2 linked regions of the Bombyx mori genome follow. Each later gene encodes a partner of the first gene's protein in a complex. Links are inferred from orthologs where the notes say so. Each region holds a gene or a part of one and is shown on either strand. Other genes may lie near its edges. The genes, in order: FRSB and FRSA.

Region 1 (4,787 bases):
CATCTGATTACAGTGTTAGTGAATAAAATGGAGTTTGCAGACTTTCATCAACAATAATAACTCCGCACCATCAGCCTAGCTTACAGTTATAATAAAAAACATATATTAAAATTAATTTATTTAAAAAAAACTGATTCAAGACTACCATGTATAGAATGCTATAGTAGAATTATTTTGTCTGTACAGTTTGGGTCATAAAAATCGGTGATCGAGCGGTGAAGCGAGTATTTCGCTCTCTCTTCTACTCACGAGTCTTATGGACGGGCATAATGATGCGCATTATGGTTGTTGATAAGCGTTATCGATAGTGTATTTAGTTTTGTCATTTTGTGGGTTAGTGATAAAAATGAAAGAAAAAACCACTAATCGAACACTTACAGCACATATCGCCGCAGTAAGTTAACGAGTACGGCGGAAATTAACACTTTGTAACTTTTTGGGATCTATTCTTATTTCACAGAGAAATTTTAACACATTGTTGATAAAAAACACGTGCAAATAATTATTTTGAATAAATTTTGCCATTTTGATACAAAACAAACTAAAGAACTCACTAAAGAAAATCAGAGAACGAATGCATAAAAACACATTTCTCTTCGACATAATGTACTATAATTTGCAGGTAAATACAAATGACTCATAACATAGCAATGTCTCACCACCCTTCGTATACCACCCCGCCCGTCGCCGTGTACCTAAGCCTTCGATGACTTATTTGTTTTTATAGACGCCTGCGCAACATGCTCACCACCCTAGCCGGGCTATGTTTTATGACCCAAACTGCACAGACAAAATAATTCTACTATAGGCAATTCCTCATAGACCTACACATTGTGAAAGGTTTTTTTACAATTATGTCTTTGTCAAAGTAATAAAATATAATAAATTTAAGGTTAATTTAAAAACTGCAGTAGTTGTGTTTATCGTGTTCACTTCATACCATTTAGATTGTCTGTAGTCTTGTCTGCTGGTCTGTAGTCTTGTCTGCTGTTCGAATTCTATTCTTATTTTTATACTTACTCCACTGATACCTGTGCAGGCTCGCAATAATACACTGCTATCAGTACATCAATTCAAATGCTTTTTATGCTTGATATATCAATTTATTACCTGTAGATCAATGAAACTATCATAAGATTCCTTTGTAAAAGTAATGCCTCTAAGTACAGCTGCTACAGCATAGGGTCTTATTTGTGCTGTGGCCATCGTTAGGTGTAAAGAGTTACAGTCTTCATATTTTTTCACTTTGTACTGAGGTGGAGGTTTCCTGAAATTTATTTATAATGATCTCATCATTTACTTTTACCGTCGCACCTGCTGCTTACAATTGTTCATAGTAGCAATGCTGCTAAAGCAAAATGTGTATCTACTTTGAAACATTGAGTTAGTTGAGTGTACTTTAAGTCATTATTTTTACCACTTAACATCCTGCTCTAGAATGAACAGTCACAGTATTATTGTACAGTATTTCTTCCAGTCTTTCTTGAAATCTTTAACAAGTCTTATTCAAGAGAAGTTTGAAGGGTGTCCTCAGTAGCGGGCAAAAGAGGTAATAAAAGTTTTCACTAGAGAATGGGCAGCAGCTTTTCTTAGTATCAAAATTCAAGTACAGTTCTGGGAGATCTCAACAGAGCAAACCGGTATTTCACACCTGGATAAAGAATTTTGCTTTACAAAGCTCAGGTTCGGCCTCGCATGGAGTACTGCTACCACGTCATGGAATCCTTTCATTAGACTACATAAAGAAGAGAGCCATTCGGATTATTGATAATCCCATTCTCACGGATTGTTTGGAACCTCGGGGTCTGTCGAGGGACGTTGGTTCCATCTGTATTTTGTACCGTATGTTTCATGGGGAGAGCTCTGAAGAATTAAGGATTGAATTGAGATGATACCATCATTTCAAACAATACCATTGCACTGCTCGCCACCGGCGTAGAGTTCATCCATATTATGTGGAGCCAGCGTTCATCCACAGTGTTTCCAGAGATATTTTTTGCAACGTACCATCCAGCTTCGGAATGAGTTCCCCTCCACGGTGTTTACCAAGCTCTTCTTCAAGGCTTGTAGAGAGTATTAGACAGTAGGCAACGCTAATGTCCATGAGTGATGTTAACCACTCACCATCAGGTGGGCCGTATGCTCATCTACCGACAAGGGCAGTAAAAAAAGAAAACTGCAATAGCATTCATTGGTGGTAGAGGATATTACAAGTAGGTATTACTATCCTGCCTATTTTTGTTACAAAGTATTCATGCATTCTGCTTTGCGGGTTACAACCACTTTTATATGATTTCAAATTTATGTCATAAGTTGGGTGGTAATATTAACAATGTAATAACTGGGCTCTGGTGACTTCTGTACACCAGGTAGACTTGTTCACCCATACACAATAAATAAATAAAATAGAAAAAAATATCCATTAACTTACTTCCCCTGGAACACTAATAGACCATCAACAAGTCCTTCGAGGCACAATAAGTCATATCTATTGGCTGGGATGTCTATTCTGTAGAGGATCTCATCAGATAATTCAGCATCTGCTTGGTCACCTTGTTCTTTAATTAACATTTGTTTCTCCGTAGTCTGAAATTGGTAGACACACATTAATATCGCCACAAATCCTTTCTTCAAGCTCTGAATTCAAGATAATACATTTACATATATTTTTCAAGGTAAATCATTATTTTAATTATTACAATAAAACTAGGTTTCAGATCATTATTTCGTTTTTTTTAATTTAGTGGGTCCTAAAATGGGTACTCACAACTTCATCAAGCTCTAAACCAAATTTGAAACATAGGTCTTGAAATTCTTCATCAGCTGAAATGTTTCGATAAAAGCATTTTAATTTGAATTAAAATTAAACTAATTTTTTTACAAAATATTCTCATACTGTATGTAGAACCGAGTGCGGCGAAAAGCGCATCGCGCTTTAAAGAAATTGTGGGCATTCTTGATAAAATTATTTAAAAACGAGTGAGTAGACCATATGTGAAATATGTCAGTGCTGCGCTCTTCCAAAACTATCGGTTTTTTTTTTGGTACAATTTTCCTTATCAGGAAAGGCAAGGAAATCTAAGCCCATACAGCCATGTCTGTTCTAAAACCATAGATAATACAAATTCTATTTAAGGGTTTTTCTGACCTGGTAACTAGGACCTTTATACCATATCTTATTTTAATTTATAAATATTCCTATTGTGTTAATTTAAAATAATAATATGGAGTGAAATGAAATGAAATGAAGAAGATTAACTTTAGACATTAATCAACTGGGATGAAATTAAATAAAATGATATGCGATGAAATATAATCTCAGGAAAATGGTGGTCATTTACTGAGACTTTTTCAGTTGACTTTTTGGAGGATCCCTAGAAGTTACGTCTAGTGTTTTCTTTTATTTTTTCACATTTGTGCACTTTCACAGATATTAAAGAGTTAATAAGCCACCGTTATTTTATTACATCTCTAAACCTGAAAAAACACTAAGTAGACAAATGACACAACTTCATTCCTCGCATTCCCGCCAAATAGTCAGTTAATACAAAAAAGCACCACAAATCACAGAAAATAAGGGTGACAGTTCACGGCAGGGATGCTGGATAGTATCTACTGACAAAATTGATTTAAAATAAGTTACTCGATAATAAAAAGAAAAGCATCATTATGAAAAGCATTTTATCAGAAAATTCTATTTAAGTTATGTTATATTCATGAGGTACTGATATAATCATAAGAACTGGTATTTTAGAATAGAGAGTTGAATGAACATTTTATTGGATAAGTCCATATTGGATATTGGTATATATAATTAAATACTTGTCAGTTTTTATTTAGGCCATGAAAATTAGTGAGCCAACTCATATACAACTACAAAACAATTAACACTTAATCTTTAAAAGATCAAATTTTCATCTAATTATTCACAAACGGGATAAAACATGACTTCAGTTCTCAAGACAAAGTTTTTATTAAATGTATTGTATAATTATGATTAATGAAAATGCGTTTATTTTTTGTTTTGCTGGGTAGAAAACACAGAAATAGCACTAAAAACTGATTTTTGCGAATTTTTTTGTGAATCTATTATTATTAAACCATTGATTCGAATTGATACAAAGATCGTTTTGTGTTGCAAAAATTTCCATCCCTACTAATGATTTTTACTGCCAGATGGTTTCGTTGATTTTCCCCTTTTTTATATTTTCCCACAAAATTTGACAGCAAAAAATGAAAAATGTTTTATGTATTAGATTAACAATAGAAATTACTTCTCCAGTACAACACCTACGTAATACATAAAAACACACATATGAAAAAGGTATAAGGGAAAAATATTCGGGGAGCTGAACGTGTAATTTCTTTCCAGTTCGACAACAAATTAAAACTCCACGCAGGAAAAAAAAATCTTTAGATTTTTTTATTACCTCTATAAACAAACGGGCAGTACACCTGATGTGCTGAGTGGTTACCATCACTCATTAACTTTAGTAATGCAAGAGATACAGCCATGCCACTCCCTACCTCTCATCTAGTGTTGTATATGTATTTTTTAATTACAGAAATAGTATCAACACTCAATCCCCTTACTTTCACCAATGTGTTGGGGCTGGTGCACATGGCATGTCGGAGCTGCTTAAATTAAAACCTCACCAACCTGTCACTCAATGACTTAGTAGTCTCAAATAAAACAGAACTCATCTGGATTGCTAGGTAGCAGTCGTTGATATCACGAAAATAGCTGTCTATCTGCCGTGTTTTCAGTTCTTCTAATTTTCAACGCG
Region 2 (3,967 bases), about 12 Mb from region 1:
TAGAACAGTTTCCAGAAATTCTAACGTCATATTTACTAGAAGATCCTTCTCGTTCGCTTAACGTCAGGCAAATGATATACATGCTTGCGTGCGACGCTATTCAATACAATAAAAAAGTTCAAAAAATACCACGTGATGGCTCTTATAATATGAAAAATACATTGCAAAATTATAGTTTTCACGATTGTTTTTTCAAATTTAGTATATGACATAGATTAAGTACAATTTACAAGACAAATGGTATTAAATATTATAATGAGAAAAAATATCTCACATTTTAAAAATATATGCTCACACTAGTAAAAATTTATCAATGAATTTGTAATATGGAAGAATATTCCACAAACTGGAGAGGATTCTCGCTTAAAACCACTTACATTAAAAGTGTTCACCATGATTACAAGGAAACTTTCACGATTTTCGAAAAAAAACAAGCCACAAGCTGTATCAGTGCCATTTTAACTTCGTACTACAAACGTAAATAGACGCCATTTTTCTTTTAATCCATTCATTGCTCTTTTTCGGTGATGCCAACAATTAATCTGGCTTCCCACCAAATTCAATATGAAAACCATCAGAAATCTACGTACCTACCATTAAATTTTCCATTAAACAGAGTTCTTATTAATATAGAACAATATTTTTTTGTTAATAAGCTTTATTAATATATGATGTTCTATTAATCTAATCAATATTTCTTATATAATTTATTTTAATAAATTTCACCATAACTTTGTACGTTTATTTTGAACCAATTTAATTTTTGACGTTGATGGAAATTCTAAATTCTCGCAACATTTTCTAGTTAAGTTTAAGTCACATCGTTTAAATAATATGTATTTAGATATATTATTGTCATAAAATGTTTAAAATCCTGTAAAGTGGATTGATTTTAACCTTTTCGATAATTTTCAACAACGCCCAAGCTACTAAAAAATCCACTAACCACTAAAAGCCATTTTTGATAACTAAGACGGGGGTCCAAATTCCGAGATTTTATGGAAAATCCTCTAAGCTAGCAACACTGCTTTTTGCTTGTAAAATGTGCGAGAGGGACACCACCACTTAATAATCATTCTCTTTTCAGACCGTTTTTCCTTACATCTTTTGCTATTTAAAAATAAACTTTAAGCCATAGAGATAAAGTATATTTTTAGTTTTTATGTCAAACGAAGTAAGCACTCCAGTTAGAATAGTAACTCTATGGATAGCTAATACAAAATTTTAGTGAGAATGAAGAAGACTCGATGCTTTTTGTGATTTTGACGTTGTTTTGACGTTGTTTTGACGTTTCGTTACTCGTTGCTGCCATATAGGTTGCTGCTGATAGAAATGGAACAGTGAAAGCTGGAGCTCAGTTTTGAGATTTTATAACCTAAAAAGCTAAAATATTCGGGCGAAGAACTCAAAATGGAATTGAACGAAAGAATTTTAAAGTATCTAGAAAACAGCGACAAAGCTGACACTTTAAAATTATGTGAAGAATTCAACGAAGAACATCAAAAAATAGTTGGTGCTGTAAAAAGTTTGGAAGCTCTTGAAATGGTTATTTCGGAAGCTGTTAAGATTACAAAATGGGAGTTAACTGAAGAAGGAGAACTCGTTGCTAATAATGGTAGCCACGAAGCCGTATTATACAGAAGTATACCAGACAGTGGTGTACCGCAATCTGAAGCTATGAAGGTAAACGTTTTGAACTTGAACATTATCTTAGATTACATCTAGAATAATGAATAGAACACAAAAAAATAGGATTTTTCTTTAAACTTAAAAAAATATATAAATTGGTCATAACATAGATACAATGTAAACAAGTAATATGATATTATTAGATTATTAAGAAATTAAAATATTATGTATAATGTTATATTGATCCTTGTGCATTAATTATTTTTTGAAATATGAAATGCGTACAAATTTTTTTTTCTTCTCTTGTTTCTCTTAACAACTACATAAATAAAAATAAATAATAAAACTTGTAAAACGTGTAAAAGTAGTTGCTGAAGTTACCTGAAAGTTTACCTTCTAGATGGTACCAAATGCAAAGGTGGGATTCAGTAAAGCCATGTCATCTGGATGGATATACATAGATAAATCAAGTGGACCGCCCCTCGTCAAACGTAAAGTTGATTCAATTACAGACATTGTACAGGAGAACCTTAGTGAAATTAGAAAAGGTATAGATAATTTATCAGAAAATGTAAGAAATGACTATAAAAAAAGGAAACTTCTACAAGAGGTGACCATTAAAAGCTTCTTGCTGTCGAAGGGCCCCCAATTTGCGATAACAATAAAGAAATTGGAAACAGATTTAACAAGTGACATGTTGTTGAGTGGCTCGTGGAAGACTCTAGAATTCAAACCATATAATTTTGATGCTTTAGGTAAGTTTTTTCTAAGAACTTTTTCAGGTAAACAATAAGAATAAAAATGCAATTTGAGAAGTATCTAAGACCCAAGAAGTTCTCAATTACTGCATCGGTACTTGTACTTGTAAATGTTGACTATATTTTGTGTCATCTCATAAAGATGTAATTTTTTTAAATTATTAAAATTAATCAATCAGAAAAACATTGAAATCTATTTAGTCATAAGAAAGATGTAATTACTGTAATTTCATACTATCAAAGCATACACTACTTGTAATGTTAGTATCAATGTTAAAGCTTGTCTATCAATATGTTGACAACTTCCTTACTGGATGGAGCAGAATATTTCTTGTCACTCAGACTCTTTTTTTTGTCTCATGATCAGAATCACAACCCACTTGGAGATCCAGAACCTTAGTGGGTTACGTTACTATCAAATGGTGACTAAGTGCCTAAAAGCAAGCAAGCGATGAGAGTAGATAAAGAGGGCACTCTGTCCCAAAATTCAAATAATTGCTCCAAAATGTATTGAATTTAATTAATTGTTAAAATCTTAGTTAATACCACATTGCCTACAATCCAATTGTGAGTTGAAATCGTTCTGAGTAGTGATCCATAATAAATCATTAAATTATATAATTTCACAGGCCAACCACCAGAATGTGGTCACCTCCATCCCCTCTTGAAAGTAAGGTCGGAATTCCGTGAGATATTCTTGGAAATGGGTTTCACGGAGATGCCGACAAATAAATACGTTGAGAGTTCATTCTGGAACTTTGACGCACTGTTCCAACCTCAACAGCACCCAGCCAGGGATGCTCACGACACATTCTTCATGTCCTCGCCTGCTGCCACCACGGAGTTCCCCATGGAATACCTGGAGAGGGTGAAGAAGGTGCACAGTAAAGGTGGATATGGCTCCCAGGTTTGTTAATTACTGAATTTAATATTAGCAGTTGAATTTTTTTTTTTTTTTATTGCTTAGATGGGTATACGAGCTCACAGCCCACCTGGTGTTAAGTGGTTACTGGAGCCCATAGACATCCACAACGTAAATGCGCCACCCACCTTGAGATATAAGTTCTAAGGTCTCAGTATAGTTACAACGGCTGCCCCGCCCTTCAGACCGAAACGCATTACTGCTTCACGGCAGAAATAGGCAGGGCGGTGGTACCTACACGTGCGGACTCACAAGAGGTCCTACCACCAGTAATTACGCAAATTATAATTTTGCGGGTTTCATTTTTATTACACGATGCTATTCCTTCACTGTGGAAGTCAATCGTGAACATTTGTTGAGTACGTATTTCATTAGAAAAATTGGTACCCGCCTGAGATTCGAACATCGGTGTATCGCTCAACACGAATGCACCGGACGTCTTATCCGTTAGGCCACGACGACTTCCAAGAATCCAATGAAATTAAAATGCTTAGATATTAATGTCTATCATAATCTAGAATGGTCTTAGTAACCTCTGCACCTGCAGGCACTTGGTGTTAAGTAATTACCGGACTCACATACATCACCCCTTACGTGCTGCCTTACACATTTACACTCCAGGTTTTAATTATCAATTGTTTAGTAATTATATATATTT

Evidence for each region.
Region 2: the proteins of FRSB (region 1) and FRSA are in contact, whole or in part, in a crystal structure (PDB 3L4G), measured with the Homo sapiens proteins. The link is inferred for Bombyx mori from reciprocal best matches to the Homo sapiens genes FARSB and FARSA. Residues at the interface, in NP_005678.3 of Homo sapiens: Glu26, Phe29, Gly32, Leu33, Pro68, Ala69, Asn70, Ile150, Arg152, Asp259, Thr261, Lys262, Arg305, Lys316, Lys317, Val318, Gly319, Ile359, His360, Cys362, Asp363, Glu366, Ala369, Ile370, Tyr374, Asn375, Ile377, Gln378, Met379, Thr380; in NP_004452.1 of Homo sapiens: Ser221, Gly222, His223, Leu224, His225, Leu227, Leu228, Arg231, Ser232, Arg235, Leu239, Gly242, Phe243, Thr244, Glu245, Pro247, Asp249, Asn250, Phe251, Ile252, Glu253, Ser254, Phe263, Gln266, Gln267, Phe277, Phe278, Leu279, Arg280, Asp281.

What each region holds. Positions count from the first base shown.
Region 1 is NC_085112.1:3,834,181-3,838,967, forward strand, and holds the start of FRSB (phenylalanyl-tRNA synthetase beta subunit), read right to left. Parts: upstream 3,029-4,787; 5' UTR 2,955-3,028; coding exon 2,897-2,954; intron 2,824-2,896; coding exon 2,768-2,823; intron 2,587-2,767; coding exon 2,432-2,586; intron 1,268-2,431; coding exon 1,111-1,267; intron 1-1,110.
Region 2 is NC_085112.1:15,644,997-15,648,963, reverse strand, and holds the start of FRSA (phenylalanyl-tRNA synthetase alpha subunit), read left to right. Parts: upstream 1-1,167; 5' UTR 1,168-1,410; coding exon 1,411-1,683; intron 1,684-2,029; coding exon 2,030-2,384; intron 2,385-3,016; coding exon 3,017-3,294; intron 3,295-3,967.